2 linked regions of the Struthio camelus genome follow. The protein of the gene in region 1 purifies or fractionates together with the protein of each later gene. This does not show direct contact. Links are inferred from orthologs where the notes say so. Each region holds a gene or a part of one and is shown on either strand. Other genes may lie near its edges.

Evidence for each region.
Region 2: the proteins of KLHL15 (region 1) and NUDCD3 purify together in Homo sapiens (co-immunoprecipitation; 3 studies listed by BioGRID and IntAct, with this or other methods). This does not show direct contact. The link is inferred for Struthio camelus from reciprocal best matches to the Homo sapiens genes KLHL15 and NUDCD3.

Annotation. Positions count from the first base shown.
Region 1 is NC_090942.1:135,260,964-135,270,369, reverse strand, and holds the start of KLHL15 (kelch-like protein 15), read right to left. Parts: upstream 4,793-9,406; 5' UTR 4,708-4,792; intron 4,133-4,707; exon of another isoform or gene 3,793-4,132; intron 670-3,792; exon of another isoform or gene 567-669; intron 370-566; exon of another isoform or gene 256-369; intron 1-255. Other genes in the region: EIF2S3 (eukaryotic translation initiation factor 2 subunit 3), read left to right, coding at 5,182-5,250, 7,366-7,429, 7,943-8,070, 8,199-8,320. UniProt on the Homo sapiens protein: Substrate-specific adapter for CUL3 E3 ubiquitin-protein ligase complex.
Region 2 is NC_090968.1:1,537,375-1,546,780, reverse strand, and holds the start of NUDCD3 (nudC domain-containing protein 3), read right to left. Parts: upstream 5,426-9,406; 5' UTR 5,337-5,425; coding exon 5,139-5,336; intron 2,237-5,138; exon of another isoform or gene 2,139-2,236; coding exon of another isoform or gene 2,067-2,138; intron 1,623-2,066; coding exon 1,309-1,622; intron 1-1,308. Other genes in the region: PGAM2 (phosphoglycerate mutase 2), read right to left, coding at 7,415-7,584, 7,889-8,069.

The sequences.
Region 1 (9,406 bases):
ACAGCCGCCCGTTTCCCCACGCCGCTGATGGCCAACAGCCATTTCTGCGGCACCCGCTCCCACGACCCCCTTCCGCTGCCGCAGCCCAGCCGCCCGGCCGAGCGGGGGGCGAGGGGGCCCGGCCCGGCCCCGGCCCCGGCCGCGGCTCCCGGCCCCGCTCTGCCGTTGCAGCCCGCCCCTCCCCCCGCGGGGCCCCCGCCGGCCGGGGGGGGGGGGGGACGAGGCGAGGGGGCGCGGGCCGGCGGCGGCACCTACCTCTGGGCAGCAGCGGCGCTGGAGACGCGGCTCCTCCCGCCGCAGCCGCAGGGACGGGGGCCTCGGCGTAACATAAAGCCGGAGGCGGCGGAGGAGGAGGGACGCGCCGGGGGGCTGAGGAGAGGGGCAACGGCTGAGGCAGAGCCGGGAGGAGGAGGAGGAAGAAGGGGGGATCCTGGGCTCCCTCCTCCCCGCCGTCGGTGCTCGGGGGGAGGTGGGGAGCCGCCCCCCGCCGCGCCGCGCCGCGCCGCGCCGCCCGGGCCCCGGCGCTCTGGGCCGCTCCCCGCCCCCCGCCGCTCACGCTTGTTTACCTTCTGCGCTGCCTAGCGCGGCCGCAGGCGCCATCTTCCCCCGCGACAGGCGCCCCGCGCCGGCCGTCACTTCCGCTGCCACCTGCGGGCCCGCCGGGGCGGGGGCGGGAACGGGAACGGGGGGCCGCGCCCGGCACCGCGGGCCGCCGCCGGCGACATCCCCGGGACTCTCCGGGGCCGGCCAGCCAGCCGCCGAGCCCCTCCCGCTGACTGACACCGGCAGCCGCGGGGGAGACCCGGCGCCCCCCGGGGAAGAAAAGTCCCTCGCGAGAGGCCAGCGGCGGCCGCGTCTGGCTGGGGATGGGGAAGGCAGTAGCAAGAAGCATCGTTATGTTTGGCCTGTTACTACAGTCTTCCACAAGTATCTATATGCTTTTGGTCCCTTTGAGGCTTGTTGTTTTGTTCCGCCCTTCAGTTTCCAAGCCCGGTCCCGGTTTTGCAGAGGTCTCGTTTATCATCAGTTTTCCTCCTCTCCGTTTTCTTGGGCAGCAGCACAAGATGTTGCACAGAAACGCGCCCCGACCGACGACAACCCCTTTCAGGAGCTTGTTGAACTCCCTCCCCTGACAGCTGGCCACCCTCGGGTGCTGCGGGCTGACCCTACAGCTGTCTTCTTGCCACAGTGAGAATCGGGTCACCAGAGCCACAGGCCCTGCTTGCTAGCATAGCTGCCCTGGGGCAGCAAACTGCGCGTAGCTGACAGGAAACCGCGGCCCAGCAGGGGATGAGCAGGTTTCTGCCCTAGCCCAAACTTCACCTCCTTGCTTTCTGCAGCTTGCCCTTGCCCAGCAATCAGTGACTTCAGTGCAAGAAGGAAAAACAGCCAACACTTCCCACCCATGTAATGACAGCGCGCTAAACTGTGTCGACCATTGGTCTGCCACTGCCACCCCCAAACCATTCACTACCTGCTACTGTACCTCTCCCATCACCTTCTATCTCACTTGCTGCCTTTAATAACAGGCCACACGCTGCCATCCTCTCTGTTTATTGCTGTTCCCATCCCTTTCACTATCTATTTTCAGTCTCTCATTACCACCCCCATCCCATTCTTGATTTATGACACAAGAACATAACTGCTCTGTAACTGCCACCCCCAATCTGAATGCCCTTCCCACCTTTCATAGCTCCACAACCAACCAGCTATGCCGTGCACTGCTTCACAGAAGACTTCCCACTGCTATTCCCACTCTGCTAACTGACCTCCTACTGCTCCCTCACGGCCTACTTAGGCCACACTACAATCAGCCGGCTCCCATTCACTCCATCATACCAACAACCTGACCTCTCTCTACTCAGCTAACTTCATACCATTCCATCTCGTGCCCTAACTCATGCAGTAAATTTGCCCCGTTTCCCCGGTCACTGCTTCAAAACCTGTTACTAATGCAGTTATGGTTAAACAAACTAACGTTTATCTATTGACTCTCTCCAAGAGAGCTACTGTTGCTGCCCTCTAAGTCTTACAGAGAAAAGACATTCTCATCCTTAGTCATAGGATATATGTCCTCTGCTGTTCCAACCACATACCCACTCATAGCACACTCATGCTTCAGTAAAGAAAAATTGGAGTAGGAAATAAATATTTTGTACAGAAATGATACAACATGAACAACTTTCTGCTCTCTTCAGACTTTTCACCTTCATAGGTCAGTTAAAGGTGGAAAGAGCTAGCAGGACTGTTTTGGTTTCAGCTGTCATTTTGCTGTTGGCAGTTTGTGGCCGGCCGACGTATAAGACGATCTTTAGGTCTCCCATACACTGCCACAGAAGACAACCTCAAACCAAGCCAAACTGCCTCCTGACAGCTTTGACATACTCACTGTCAACATAAAAAAGCACAACAAAACAAACCTCCTTCTCCTTCACATTAGACAATTTGCTTCTAATGAAAAAATCAAAATGCGTTAATAATGCCTCAATTTTAATCTCCTAACTAAAAACGTTATTAACTTTGAGCCCCAGCCAACGACCACTGGTGTCAGTATTACCTTAATGAGCATTAATGCAAATGGAGATTTGGATGGAAACCTCTCATTTAGGCATCTGTACAATCTCGGTTGCTAAGTAGTTCCCACTGACATAAATGAGACTATTACCATAAAATTATGCACTTGAGTGTTTGAGCTATATTAGTACACTAGTTGCCATTTCATTTGTGTAGTTTTAAACCTTATTTATTTTATATGTATAGGTGTATGAGTAATACACTTGACAGTTCCTAAAAACGTGAGGTTTTATCCTGTTTTATTAGACATTTGCCAGTCTTTAGACTTTTCTGGTTTTTTCTTCATATTAGGAGAACTCAAAAATGGAGTGAATCAAAGTAAGACCATCTCAGAATATGTGAAATGTATAATTTTATTTTTAAAGTAGGAGAAACGGTTTGTGTACTTTTTCAGATGCCTAACATCTCTTGGCAAGGATTAAATCATTTATAAAGGCTATTGCAAATGTGACAAAAACTGCTTCTATAATTTTATATTGCACTGTGCTGTTGTATAATTTACACAGCTAAATAAGTACAGAGCCTGGTATTTTCAGCTCATTTTCACAAAACAGTGATTATACATGCCTAGAAGTCCAGGCAACTATAACCAAGTATTGCATCATGCTCCCATCATACTTTGTGTACCTCAGTCATAAGCATCTACTCTTTTTCCTAGAAGTGGGATAATTTATTGAAAATTGTAATACATCATCTAGCCTGAAAAAGACTAGATACAAATTTTTTAATTTTACATTTTGTATATAATTTTATAGTTTTTTATTTCATGTATTTTGGATTTATAGTAGATTTATATTCATTTTTGGTCAATTTGTGCAGAACTATTGTGTTGCAGGACAAAACAGAGTTTATCACTGGCAACATCACTGCATCCACTGTAAGGTTTCTTGCTACATTCGCATATTCATTTCTTCAAAACAAGAATGCTGCCAATGCACTTGCTCTAGGTTTTTTGGAGTAAAACTCACGTCTGAATCTTGTTTCAGGAAAGAAATGGAAATATTAGGATTTGTGAAAGTGGGAGGTTACAAGCATTTTTAAGCCAGGCATACCAGTTTTGTACAGATTTCCATCATCACACTTCAGTCACGTTGTCGGGTATTCCAAACCTATTTTTGTCACCCAGTTAGCCAGGCAATATCCGAGTACCTTCACATTTTTCAGTAGGCAAAGACACTGCTGATGAACATGGATGTATTTGACACAACGGTTACTTACATTGAAACCTGTTTCTCTGAGATCATAGAAGAAATCCTACTAGGAGCAATAGCCTCTATGCCTGTAAGAAGAGGTTTCCATGAAGGAGACAGTTTGAGTTTCCAAGTGGAAGGGCTAGGAATTTGGCCGTTATCTCATAGTCTCTGTTAAACTTCCAAGCTGGCTGTCATCACTGCACCAGGGATTTTATTTGAATTTTAAAGCACTTATGTTGTGCCCAAATCTGAAAACAGCATGCATGTGGTGGGGGTTTTAGTTGTCTGGTATGAAAGATTCGAGCTGTTCATTCTTGGGGCAGGGTCTTATGTCCATATGTTCTCTATACCACTAAGCACTGAGCCTACAAAAGACAGCAAGAAGAAGAAGGTTGACATTCAAAATCTTGTTAGGCAGATGGCCAGCAAAGATTACTAACATTTGTATAGTGACATTTTACCGTAAAAACACAAACACAAATGCTCTGACATCAAATTAGGTGTTCTCTTTTCTAGTGCATACAAACACATCTGGTTGTCATTTTCACCCTTATCCTCTTTTCTGCCTCATGCCCATTTACTGTGCTAGATAAACCTGCATTTTCTTGCTGTTGCATATGCATCAACAAAAGCTGATCCTCACTGCCATCCATAACCACAGAAAGAAACTCATTCTTTTGGTACAGCTCTCAGCAAAACCAGCCCCCATCTTGATTACAGCATCGAAGCGACTACATTTTAGGTATTACATACCGCAATAATATAAAATAACAGCGGGGCCCAGGCAGCCTGCAGTTCTAAAGACAAGAGACAACCCCTTTTCAACAGAAATACTTAAAACACGCTAATTTATGAGGCGTTTGTCACTGCCACAGGAACGCGAGGCTGCGTGTAAGACCAAGCACAAACCGTCCCTGACGGTACGTCTGAAGGAGCTCACCTCTCGCCATCCCCCCTCCCTCTCTTCAGCGCCTCCGCCCGCGCAACGGCCCCGTCGCCCCGGGCTCACGACCGTTCCCTGAAGATGGGGGGGGGAGGGGCGGCGGGCGCGCACTGCGCACGCGCGCCGCGGCCCCGCCCCGCTGCCCGCCACCCGCGCGCGCACGCGCACGGCCCCCGCCCGGCTCGCGGCGCTGGCGCACGCGGAGCGGCGCCTGCCGCAGGCCCGGTTGCATCACCCCGGCGCGAGGCAGACGCGGGGTCCTTCCCGGGGCTGCCCCGCCGCGCGCCTGAGCCGCTCCCGCCCCGCGGCGTGCCTGGCGGCGGCCCCGCGCCGCTCCGCGAGGCGGCGGCCCGAGCCGAGCGCCTCGGTACCGCCGGGCGGGCGGCGGGCGGGGCGCGGGCGGCGGCGGCGCCGAGCCCCGCCGGGGGTCAGGCGGCCGCCGCGGGCTCCTCGCTTCCTCTTCGGGCAAAGATGGCGGGGGATGAGGCGGGAGTGACTCTGGGGCAGCCGCACCTCTCCCGGCAGGACCTCGCCACCTTGGTGAGGGGGGCGCGGCGGCGGGCGGCGGGGCCGCCGGCACGCGGAGGCTGAAGGGATGCGGGCTCCCCCGCCCCCGGGCCGGGCGGCCGTTGGGGGCCGCCGGCTGGCAGGGCGGCGGGGCCGGGGAGGGGGCGCGGGGCCGGGCGGCGCTCCGGGCCGGCCGCGGGAGCCGGTCAGGCTGGGCGGGGCGGGCGGGATGGGGCCCCTGGCTCGCTGGAGCCGTGAGAGGAGAGCGGAGCTCGGTGGGCTTGCCTCCCGGCTCCCTCGGCAGGGGAGGCCTTCGTGTGGCGACGGTGGGGGACGTGCCGCGCCCTCCTCCTCAAAGGCTGCTTTGCCCGAAGGAGAATTGCGCTTTGGTTTTCTCTTCTCCGAGGGGGCTAGGCAGTTTGCTTGCCTGCGCCGTCTGGGTTGGTCTTTGTGTGCTCCGCAAAGACCACCAGGAAATCAGTCGCAGAGGGTCTCTCGCTGTGGTCGGCTCGCCGAATAGATGCCTAGCCGCGGCTGTCTCACTTTCTTCATGTACGCAGGCAGAGCCAGTCAGAAGTCCCACTGGTTGCTGTCTCCCTGGTTTTCAGCAAATTAGGGGTTATTTTTGTCTTTACAGTGTTAACGTTTCTGAGCACAGGAGTTTTCTCCGTGTTGTACGTAAGCATGTTGATACTCAGGAGTGAAGCATGTTAATTGTTTCAGAAGGTTCCTTTACTCGCTTCCTTTTCTGGTTGGCCTTGGTATTTGCCAACTGGAAAAAGAGCAGACGTGCTTAACTGGGAGGTCAGTATGAATTATGCTTAAGCCCTGTCCTGTATTAATTTCATTTGGCTGTTGAGTGCTCGCATTTGGCTGGAGCTTATAGCCAAACTTAACCTTATACTAGTCTTGAGGGAAAAAAATGCATACGTACGTAATTGTGTGCTGGGAGCAGCTCTGTTGATGACAGGTTTTGCGTCATGCGTATATGCATGTCATCCTACTATATAGTGCCGTCTGCAGGTCACGTCCCCCCTTCTGACTTCAGTAGATCTAGTCATGTTAAGTTGGGTGTACAAGAAGTATATATTCAAGCGCCTCTGTTAAATGAACAAAACTTGTTTATCTGTTGAACCTGAATACTAAGTTCATGTAATTCCTGAAAATAAGCTAAAATACAATGAGTGAAATTCATGAAAATGTAATGGGTAGAATGAACTTGCTCATTATAGGCCTGAACTTAGCCTTAACTGCATAAGATTGTATTTCATCACTGTGCACAGAATCTGTCTGTATGACAGTGTAGACAGTATATGATTCTGTGCCAATTAGTGTGTATGCACGTGTACTGTATGCATCTTCACAAAGTATTTGTGTGACGTCCTGCACTGAGAACTGTTCTGGCATTGTGGATCTTTGCTTGAACTCAGCAGCCCACCCACATGGACTCGGTGCAGGATCAGGCCTTCAGGCCTTGAAATTAACTGTGAACAATCTCAGAAATAGCGCAGAAGAACGTTTCAGTGGATTTCAATGTTTATCCAGTATTGGAACAAATAGCCTTAAAAGAAAAAAGCTGTCTTAGAGTTGTTAGGGTTGTTTTCTTTTTTTTTTTCCCCGCTAGTGAATGTATCTGTAAGTGTTCTGATTTGACACATGCTACCAGTAAGTTGTACTTACATGTTGATTGTGATGGACCATTCCTTTTGTGATAAACGTTTACTTTAAAAACAGAAGTACAATTGCTCATTTCACGCATGGAAAATTAATATGAATTTGTCTGTTTTGTATGACAAGTTTTGGGGGAGTTGCTTTTGGTTTTAGTTTTCTGTTTTGTTGTTTATTTATTATTTACTTATTATTTATTTTTATTCATTTTTTCGTTGTATTGTTTATTTATTTATTATTTATTTATTTTTACTTCCGTCCTTCCTTAATGCTTTGTGACCTATATTGGTTGTAGGGTTTTGTTCCCTTGTGTCCTGCTTCACATATTTAGAATAATAGAATTCATATCTAGAATTATTTTAATTAGCTTAGTTGGATTTTGCTTCGTAGAATTAATAAATAATTTTTAATAAGACGCACATAGTACTCTTTAAGCGTTTAAATACAAAGTGAATAAATTGTAAAGTCTTCTTCATACAGGATGTTACCAAGCTGACACCTCTCTCACCAGAAGTCATCAGCAGACAAGCCACAATTAATATAGGTAAAAAATAAATGTCTAAAAAAGAGGGGGGCCTTACTGTGACTCTGGTGCTCATGCATTAGCATATGGTACCTATGTGACAGAATTTTTAAAATGTTCTTATTGAAGCAGACAGTAATACAGATATAAACATAGTTCCTAGACATAGTGTTTGCATTTTAAATGTTATCAAGAAACGGAAAACTTGTGAGACCCTTTTACCTTGAAAATCACTGTGGTTTTTTGCAAGAATATTATATTGAAGGATGGTTGGGGGGTAATTGGGGAGTAATATTGTATCTTAAAATTGGACAGTAAAATGAGTTACATGAAAATGCAAAGATTTATCTGTTTAGAGCTTATCTTAGGATTTTATTTGTTTGAACAAAAATGATGAAGGAATCCATTTGTGCTTCTGAAGGGAGCTCTGGACCTGCTGGCTCCAGAGGGTTTGGGGCAGTAGCATACCGTGTAATGGAACGTTATACAAATTAAACAGCTGTTTACTCACACACATTTGCTTTTAAAACATAGGTACAATTGGCCACGTAGCCCATGGAAAGTCGACAGTAGTCAAAGCTATATCTGGAGTTCATACTGTCAGATTTAAAAATGAACTGGAAAGAAATATCACAATCAAGCTGGGTTATGCTAATGCCAAGGTGAGTCATTACAATGAACCTAGCACTTATGTTCAATTTGACTTACTAATGTATTTGACGTTGGACATAAGCTTGTAACAGGCTTTTGATTCATTAAACTTCTTCTAATTTTTAAAAAATACTTACAGATTTACAAGCTGGATGACCCAAGCTGTTCCCGACCAGAGTGTTACCGATCTTGTGGAAGTAGCACCCCAGATGAGTTCCCTACAGATATTCCTGGCACCAAAGGGAATTTTAAACTAGTCAGGTAACTGCTGTAAAATGGAAGATACAAACTGTGTTTTGCTTGTTTGTGCTTCCCTTCTTGTGACTGAAAATAGTCCGGATTGAGCTGCAAGGTGAATGAATGGTTCTGGTAGACCACATGCTCTTGCAGGCTGTAAGTGGGGTACCCCTAACCTCTAAGGTATCATTTAAACTGCCTTTTTTTTTTTTTTTTTGTTAAATATTAGTGATGGTGCACAATCCAGGGAAAAGCATAGCAGTATTTTCTGTCCTTGGTTATTTTTTAAGACTATTTAGTAATTTTTTTTTTCTGCTCTTATTCTAAGTACATTTTAAAGCCACCAGTAAGAACTACTGTGAACCCCACAAATCCATTTTTGAAAATCCTTTTTGGAGTGTAATCTTCAAAGACTTTTCCGCTTGTAGGAAGAAAAAGTGCAACAGAGTTCTTAAAATGGATCTATGAGACCTTGATGCTTATCATGAGATCAGGCCTGTAACTAGGGGTCAGGCATCCTTTATTTACTTCGTTTCTAATAAAGCATAGCTGCAAGCATCGTCTCCACAGCAGTTTTGTTGGTCTTTGCAGTAACTGATTGTTCAAATGGGACTAGTCACAAAGGCAGTGATTGATTGTTCAAATGGGACTAGTCACAAAGGCAGTTGTACAACAAGACTCCTAGTTTGTGCTTATGTGTAAAATACTGTTACTGCTGTAATCACGTATTTCCTTCCTTTCCTCAGATTCCCAGTAGGACATTTGTTCTAACAGTTTTTGGTGGAGTGTGAGAGTTATGCAGCCATTGTTAAACTATCGCTTAAAGCTTTGGATTCTTTCACTTACTGTTCGTTTGCTAATTGTACATTTTTAACCTTGCCAGCTAGCAGCAAGTCAGTTCCTTGCTTTTTGGTGGCACGCTACCAAGAAACAAGGATTCTTGGTGAATGTAGTTCATACAAGAATGTAGTGCCTCAATTATTACAGGCTGCACAGTAGAATTGTGAGATTGGAACTAACACCTGTAATGTTGTCAGTGTACATACTTCTTAGAAGTGAAGTGCAATTGTAACTATGTAATTAAAGGCACACATTTTCGAGAATGGGAGA
Region 2 (9,406 bases), on another chromosome or scaffold:
CCCATAATCCTTTGCCTGCAACAGTTTAATCCCTCGGACGGGAACAGGCCTCACAGAGACACCCTACAAGGAGTTGGTGTGTGTCGATACAGGACTCAGAGGATGTTCTTAGGGCCTAGGCTCTTGGCATGGCCATCACTAGTGGCTCTGACCAGGAGAGACACTGGGGAAGGAAAGAGAAGACCGTGGTCTGCCAAGGCCTGTCCACAGCATCCTCTCCCTCAGGTGAAGCAAAATATTGACTCAGGCAGCAAGGATAAACAGGAGCTTGAAGCATATTGCACAGCATTGAGTTAAGTAAGGCAAGATGGCTTTTTTCCCCCCCCAGCACTGGGGTTAAGATGACACATAATAAAGGAACAGAAAAAACCTGCACAGGATCCCACGCTCAGGTAAGCAGTTCATAAAGGCGAGCCAAAGCTAATGTCCCCCTGGTCAGCACACAGACCCAAGGTGGAAGAGTCACAGACACCCCAGGAGGACTGTGAAGCAAGGACATCTTTTAAAAACAAACCATTTAGCCCAGTTTGAAAGCAATCGAGTCTGGTCAAAGAACATAGCTCAAGAGAAAATGTGTCACAGCACATGATCCACCTTCAAAGTCGGCCCTGCTCTGAGCAGAGGGTTGGACCCGAGACCTCCAGAGGTCTCTTCCAACCAAAAGTATTTGACGACACTGCTGGCCTCGCTGCCAGCTGGGCCTGCCCACAGCAACTCACCGGTATTACGATTATCTATGTGAGCTCCTACCTGGCTGCTAGGACGTCTCACAGCATGCTATCAGGACACAGATACAGAGGGGAGCCAGGGGAGTCCAACACTGAATTGCTGTGCAAAAGGGTAACGGGACGGTGCCAGGATTTCCCAGAGCTGCTACGGTCAGGCAGGACCATCAGCTCAACTGCACTACGCCGAGCACCGGCAAAGAGATCCAGCTCACCACAGCCAGCGCTGGGGGGAGGCTCACAGACCGGCTCAGCTGGCAGCTCGTACAAACTGCTCTGCGGGGTTGCGCGCAGAGACATGATACCCTCTCTGTTCAGAGAGGAGGGGAAAAAAACAAGGTACCTGTAGGGGAGCAGATCTCTGCCCTCCCACGGGGAATTACGCAGCTGCTCCAGCCGCGGGGCCCGCAAGGGAAAGTCACGAGACCTTCCTGAAGAGCCGAGTGCCCGTGGAGGGGTGACCGCCCCTCTGCCCCAAGGACAAGGGCTGTAAGACAGAACAGCTAACACAATCGCACTGCTCCCATCATCTGCCTCCCCCCTGCTAGGGGCACGAAGGAAGTAGCATAAGAGAGACCCTTACGTGGGCAGTTCTGCTGGCCGGGGCTCTGCCGGGGCAGCAGCCCGGGGCGGTTCTGCCGACGCAGAACTGGGTGCTGCCGGGGCTGCGTCCTGGGCTGCTGCCAGCTCCCGAGGCCCCGCAGCTCCCCCAGCATCCGGTGCCGGCACGCGTTCCGCTGTCGACTCCATCTCGATCTCCTGAGCTGCAGGGGACGCTTTCACCCTCTCCGCTGCTGCGGCAGCCTCCTCCTCCTCCTTCTTCCTTAGCTTCGCTTCCAGCTCCCGGCGTCTCTTCTCGTCGTCCTGCCGGGCCATCCGCTCAAAGACTTTGAATGCCTGAAAGAGAGCGAACCGAGCAGATCGTCAAGCCACCAAGCTCTGGCTAAGAGGCTGGGGAAGATGGAAAGGAGACTCGCCATGTACTCGGGGCACATATCACTGTCCCTCCCTCTCCAGGATCCATGTGCCCCCCACTCCCTACCCCTGCCAAGTCTGAGTTGCTTAAATCACCAACAAAACCAGCCACCGATCGTTCTGAAAGTCGCACATCCCCATTAAACACCCTGACATCTTTGGAGAAAGCCCAAATTCCTAGGAGCTGCTTTGAAACCGTTTCTTGGGGTCTGTTCCAGCAGCCAAACTCACATCAGCCTCTGCTACAGGAAAGGGGGCTGGTTATTCCAGCAAAAAGCAACTAGCTTTCCCTCGCCTCCCCAGCCTGCTCTGCACACCCTCATCAATACTGGCTGAACTCCCGGCTAGTTCCCCACCTTCCCTCACCTCATCTTGCCTTCCAGCACTGACTAAGGAGCTGTTTGGAAGCCCAAAGCTCAAACCCAACATCCAAGGCATAAACAGGACGAGGTCCCCCAGGATAAACTACATGACAGCCGGTAGGGTAGGGTCCAGCCTGGGGCGGGCAGGGTGCTGGCTGAGAGCAAACGGACTCTGAGCTCTTGTTTAGCCAGCACGAGTGAGACGAACAGTGACCTTGTGCATGGTTTTGAGCCAGGACTGACTGGTTTTCAGGCAGAAAAAAAGGGACTCTGTCAGAGAAAAACTATCCCTCCGCACCACTCAGCGGTGTGGCGGGTAAGAAGGTCGCTCCCCAAGCCAGGCCCAGCCAGCTGACCCCAGCGAGGAGATAGCATTTTCTCCCGAACGAGTCAAGGGAAAGGACATCAAAGCAGAGCCCTGTTGCTTCACCCCAGATTTCAGGCATTTGCACAGCACACCTCAAAACCGAATAAGCCAACTCAGTTTGGTCCACAGAGGGAACTGAGCCCACCTGCTCCCTGCAACAGTACCAGACTCCAACACTTCACTCTTTCTTAGGGAGGTGAAGCAACGGTATGACAAGATATAATTCCACCCTCAAGTTTGCTTCTAGCCGTTCAGAGCAGACGCTGTGACCATCTAGGGCAGGCTGGAGGTTAAAAGGCAAATCTGCCACATGGACAGAGCAGCCTAGCAGCGCCGAAGCCGACGGAGGTACGACGACTATGGATCTGTGCCCCCACCTCCTCCTCAGAGCTAAAACTCCTTCCAGTCAACAGAGAACCGTGCAACTCGTCAGGGTAAACACCCGCCCTGGGCTAGAAAGCAAGCGAGAGTCAAATACAGTCCTCGCTCCCTTCCCTACACTGCCGGGGAACACTTCCGAGCCGACTTCAGCGCTTTCCGCTTCCCGCAGGAGACCGATCCTAGGCCGGGGACCAGGCACACCCAGGCCAGCCAGGGCGTGCAGCAGCACCGGCAGATCTGATTTCTTCCTCTGTGTTCGGTACTTGTAAGGCAAGGGGGGGCAGTGCGGGGAGGCCTCACACGAGTGCTGTTACAGCAGGACACGCGCAGCGTCACATTGGGTCTGCCTTATTCCCCTTAACCAGAGCTTGTTCCCTGCTCAGGGAAGAGGCCTGCGGGACAAAGCAGCCCGAGAGAAGGGAGAGGAGGGAGATGGACATTTGTCCCACTCCTCTCCCTTTGAGATCCCTTTCTTTTTCCCCACTCCTCCGTGTCCCGGCTTTCCTCAGTGCCCACCCCCAGCTCCTTCTCTCGAGCTCACAGCCTTTTTTTCCTGCGCCCACCCCGCCGGCAGCGCCCGCTCAGCCTGGCAGCGAGCTGATGAAAATAGCCCCGCGGCTGCTCCGAGGGCGGCAGCTGCTCTGCGACCAGACCCCGGGCAGGAGCGGGTGAAGCCAAGATCAGTCTAAAGGGCAAATATCCCAAACGGAGAGATATCGCCCTCCCCGAGAGAGGTCAAGGCACGGCATTACCTTACATCTCCACAGGAATCCCAGGCCATGACTCAAACGTGCTATTCATAGACCGTTTCCCCTGACCCGCCACCAAAAACGAAGCTCAAAGCAGCCTGAGGCAGATCACCCAGGGTGACACCTCAAACCCATCTCCTTCCCCTCGGGCTACAGCCAAAGCCCCGAGCCAGGAGAGGGGACAAAAAGTCCCTCTGAAGCACCCCACACCACCCTATGCCTCGAGCAGTCTCTTCACTCCAGACCCTCATGGCTAGGGCCAGGGAGCAAGCAAACGGCAGCCTCAAATAACATCTCTCTCGGGAGAGAAATACTTAGGTTACAGCGTTGTGGTCTCCCTCCTTGCACACAAGCCCAAAACAGTCCCTGGGGAAAACGTGAGAGCCACCACAACAGCTAAGCGGCAAAGGCCCGCGGCAGGGTGCAACCCTGGGCGACAGGGACACGCCAGCCGGGGGGTCGGCGACACAGGCTCCCTCCCGCCGTGGGCCACCCCAGGGTGGGCGCAGGGAGAGGGAACGGGGTCTCGCATCGGCCTGTCTGCCACCGCTTCGTGTCCACGGGCTGCCAGAGCTGGGAAGAAGCCCTAGTCTGAGCAGATGAACACCTCCACCAAGCCAGGCCCCCATCTCTCTCAGCCCTTTTCCTCCTTCCTAATAAAGATTAATAACAGACTGCGACAGCCTTGAGTCAGAGACCTCTAGCGCTCAGTTTTCAAAATACCAAGCCCAGCCCAGCTCAGCTGTGGAAACAAGAGTTTGGAGCATTTGCCGTCTCTCTGACTGCTACCAGCAACGCAAAAAGGCCCTGCCCTCCACGTGACATCCACAGTCTCTTCTCGCTTTTTCCTGCTACCCAGGAGCCCCAGCTCCCGCAGTTTGGGTCAGCAGCATCTGGCGAGCCCTAAAGCGAACCCCACTTGCCCAAAGTGCTGCTGGCAGTTGCCTTCTTCGCCTGTTGCCCTCGACACTGCCTGAGCTCCGAGAGGGCATCAGGCCCCAGCTCCTCCCGCGAAGGCCTCACAGGCCCTGCCTGCCCTTTGGGGCTCCTTGTCCTCTTGTTAAGGGCGATCCTTGCCATCCACTCCCCCATCAATCTGCCAGGACACCTCTCCCACCTTGCCCCTGCTCCTCTGAGGAACAGCAAGGAGCATACTAGGCAGCAGCAGCAAGCTGGAGCTTTACTGTGTGGCCTCCTGGTCTCGGGGTCCCCCACCTTCCTGGGTCTTGCCCCACAGGCTGCTGCTACAAGGCAGGTCCAGGCAGCCACCCTCTCCCCTCCGGCTCCAGCACCGGGTGAGACATCCACCCCTGCAAAGACGGCGGGGACCGTCGCTCCGCAAACACGCCTGCAAAGCTCAACGGGAAGGACAACAGCAACCGACGGGGCCTTCAGGCCTCCCTGCCCGACAGCCCGGCCCGGCCGCCGACCCTCCCGAGGCCACCGGCCACCCTGAGGCCTCCAAGGCCTCGGGGCCGGCTCGGAGGGCAGGGCCGCGGCGGGGGGCGCTCTCGGGGGCCCTCAGGCGCCGAGCCGGGGCGGGGGGCCGCGGCGAGGCCCGGGGCCGCCCCGCCGGTACCTGGAGGGCCATGGCCTGGGCGGCGCCGGGCGGGAAGCCCAGGCGGTCGCCGGGCCGCAGCAGGAGGCGGTAGAAGTCGGTCTTGCGGTAGAGGAAGCCGAAGAGGACGCGCAGGAACTCCTCCACGTTGCCGACGTGCTGCAGGATGCCGAGCAGCGCTTGGTCGTACATGTCGGTCAGCGCCGCCGCGGCCTCCATGGCGGCTCCGGCCTTCGCCCCCCCCGCCGCCGCCGCCGCCGCCGCTGTCACGGCAACCGGGCCCGGCGGGCGCTTCCGGTCCGCCCCCGACAGCGCCCCCCGCGCTTCCGCCAGCGGCCCGCCGCCCTCAGCGGCCCGTCCGGAAACCGTTCCCTCCTCTCCCCCCCCCGCCCTCCCGCTCCGCGCGGCAAGGTTCCGAGGCAGCGAGCGCGGAGGCCGAGCTAGACCGCCGCCGCCCCACGTGACGGCAGGCGAGGCGGCAGGCGCCATCTTGGTTGTGGGCAGTCGGGCGGGCGCGGTCGGGGGTCGCCGCCGCCATCCCCGCGGCCCCATGGCGCCCCGCGGAGCCCCCGGGGAGCCGGGAGCCCCCGCCGCCGTCCAGGGCCTCCCGCCGCCCGCCGTGGCCGGCAATGGCGGTGCCGGGTGCCCCGGGGACAGGCCCGGCCAGCGCCTCCCACGGGGCCCCGGCCCCAGGGGTCAGTGCCCCCCCCCTCCTCCGGCCCCATGGACCCCTCGGGGTCCCGCGGTGCCCGTGGGGTCCCCCCGCCCTGCCCCACAGTGCCGCAGGAGCCCCCCAGCCCCCCCAGTGCCGCCTGAGCCCCCCCCAGCCCCCCAATAGTGCCAATGGGACCCCCCCAGCCTCCAAGATACCTAGTGGGACCCCCTAACCCCCCGATAGTGCCAGTGGGACCCCCCAGCCCCCCAAGAGACCCAACGTGACCCCGCCAGCCCCCCAATAGTGCCAGTGGGACCCCCCAGGCCCCCAAGAGACCCAATGTGACCCCCCCAGCCCCCCAATAGTGCCAGTGGGACCCCCCAGCCCCCCAAGAGACCCAATGTGACCCCCCCAGCCCCCCAATAGTGCCAGTGGGACCCCCCCAGCCTCCAAGATACGTAGTGGGACCCCCTAACCCCCCAATAGTGCCAGTGGGACCCCCCAGCCCCCCAAGAGACCCAATGTGACCCCCCCAGCCCCCCAATAGTGCCAATGGGACCCCCCCAGCCTCCAAGATACCTAGTGGGACCCCCTAACCCCCCAATAGTGCCAGTGGGACCCCCCAGCCCCCCAAGAGACCCAACGTGACCCCGCCAGCCCCCCAATAGTGCCAGTGGGACCCCCCAGGCCCCCAAGAGACCCAATGTGACCCCCCCAGCCCCCCAATAGTGCCAGTGGGACCCCCCAGCCCCTCAATAGAGCCAATGGGACCCCCCCAGCCCCTCCAAGAGAGCCAGTGGGACCCCCTAGCCTCCCAGTAGAGCCAATGGGACCCCTCAGTCCCCCCAAGAGACCCAGTAGGACTCCCCCAACCCCCCAATAATGCCAATGGGACCCCCTAGGCCCACAAGAGAGACAATAGGACCCCCCAGCCCCCCCCAAGAAAGCCAGTGGGACCTCCAGCCCCTAATAGAGGCAATGGGACCCCCCAGACCCACCAAGAGAGCCAGTGGGACCCCCCAGCCCCCAATAATGGCAATGAGACCCCCCCAGCCCCCTGATAGTGCCAATGGGACCTCCCCCAGCCCCCTCAACCCCCCCAATAGTGCCAATGGGTCCCCCTCCAGCCCCCCAATAGTGCCAATGGGACCCCCAAGCCCCCCAAGATACCTAGTGAGACCCCCTAACCCCCCGATAGTGCCAGTGGGACCCCCCAGCCCCCCTAAGAGACCCAGTGGGATCCCTCAGCCCCCCAATAATGCCAATGAGCCCCCCCCAGGTCCCCAAGAGACCCAGTGTGACCCCCCAGTCCCCCAATAGTGCCAGTGGGACCCCCCAGCCCCCTAAGAGAGCCAGTGGGATTCTCCCCAGACCCCAATAGTGCCAATGGGACCCCTCCAGCCCCCCCAAGAGACCTAGTGGGACCCCCTAACCCCCCGATAGTGCCAGTGGGACCCCCTAGTCCCCCAAGAGAGCCAGTGGGACCTCCCCCAGCCCCCCCAGCAGTGGAGCACCGCGTGGGCCCACCCCAGCGGCAGCCAGACAGTGGGACGCGGTGGGGCCCAGCCAGCCTTTATTTTGGGGAGGGGGAAGGGGGAAAAAGGGGGACAGGGACACGGCCACGGGCACCCCTCGTGGGCGGTCACTTCTTGACCTTGCCCTGGGCGGCCACGGCCTCCATGGCCTTGCGCACGGTCTCCTCGTCGCCCAGGAACTGCATGGGCTTGGTGGGTTTCAGCGCCGCGTCCAGCTCGTAGACGATGGGGATGCCCGTGGGCAGGTTGAGCTCCATGATGGCCGCGTCCGACATCCCTGCGGCGCGGCGTTGGGGGACAGGGACGTGCGCGTCAAGCCGGTGGTCGGTGGGGACGCCCAGATCCCCCCCCCAACCCAACCCAACCCGACCCAACCCAACCTGACCCAACCCAACGCAACCCGACCCAACCCAACCTGACCCAACCCAACGCAACCCAACCGGCTTCGGGGAGGGGGGAAACCTGAGCCGGCCGGGAAAGAGGAAAGGCCAGAGGAGCTGGAAATAGCCTTGACCTTCAGCGGCAGGGGGAACGGAGACCCAGCACCCGCGGGGGCCGCCGGCAGGGTGGCTGGCACCCACCTTCGAGGTGCTTGACGATGCCGCGGAGGCTGTTGCCGTGCGCGGCGATGAGCACCCGCTTGCCGGCCTTGATCTGGGGCACGATGTGCTCGTTCCAGAAGGGCAGAGCCCGGGCGATGGTGTCCTTGAGGCTCTCGCAGCTGGGCAGCTCGCCGGGCTTGAGCTCGGCGTAGCGCCGGTCCTGGGGGGGGGGTCACCGTGCCGCCCCGTTACCCTCCTGCTGTCCCCCTCTCTCCCCTCGTCCCCTTCCCTCCGTGTCGCCCCGTGTCCACGTTCCCCTCCTGTCCCCATGTCTCCTATCCCTGTTCCTGCCGTGTCCCTCCCATGTCCCGATATCTCCCCACGTCCCCCCATGTCCTCATATCCCCCCGTGTCCCCCCGTGTCCACATCCCCCCCATGTCCCCATATCTCACGTGCTCCCACGTCCCCATTCCCGTGTCCCCCATCTCTGTTCCCTCCGTGTCCCCCCTTATCCCTCCATGTCCCCCTATCCCCCATGTCCCCCATGTCCATGTTCCCCCCATGTCCCCAATCCCTGTTCCCTCCGTGTCCCCCCATATCAGTCTGTGTCCCCATATCCCCCCATGTTCCCCATGACCCCCCGTGTCCCTCCATGTCCATGTTCCCCCCATGTCCCCATATCCCCCCATGTCCCCTCATGTCCACGTTCCCCCCATGTCCCCATATCCCATGTCCCCCCATCCCTGTTCCCTCCATGTCCCCCCGTGTCCCTATATCGCCCCACATCCCCCCATGTCCCCATATCCCCCCGTGTCCCCCCATGCCCTCAAGCCCCCCCATCCTCATTCCCTTGCGTTCCCATTCCTCCATGTCCCTGTCCCCTCACGTCCCTTCCTGTCCCCATGGCCTGATGTGGCTGTGGGGGGGGGACAGGGTGCGAGTGGGGTTGTGGGGGCACGTGGGGGCACGTGGGGCTGCAGGCAGGATTGCATGTAGGGTGCAGAGACGGGTGCAGGCAGGATATGGGGGCTGGGGGGGTGCAGACACCGCTGGGGGTGCAGGCAGTGGTGCAGGGGGTGCTCAGGCAGGATATGGGTGCAGACACGGGTGCAGACATGGGTGTGGGGGGTGCAGGCAGGGCTACGGGTGCAGACACGGGTGCAGCGGGGGTTGTGGGGGGGCGCAGGCAGGGCTGCGGGTGCAGATAGGGCTGCGGGGGGGTTACAGGGGGTTGCAGACACGGGTGCTGGGGGTGCAGGCAGGGCTGTGGGTGCAGACACAGGTGTTGGGGGCTTACGGGGGGTGCAGACACGGGTGCAGGGAGGTGCAGGGGGGGTGCAGGCAGGGCTGCAGGTGCAGGGGGGGTGCAGGGGAGCAGACATGGGTGCAGGGGGGGTGCAGGGGGTGCAGGCAGGGCTGCAGGAACAGACACGGGTGCAGGGGGAGCAGACATGGGTGCAGGGGGGGTGCAGGGGGTGCAGGCAGGGCTGCGGGTGCAGACACGGGTGCAGGGGGAGCAGACATGGGTGCAGGGGGTGCAGGGGGGTGCAGGGGGG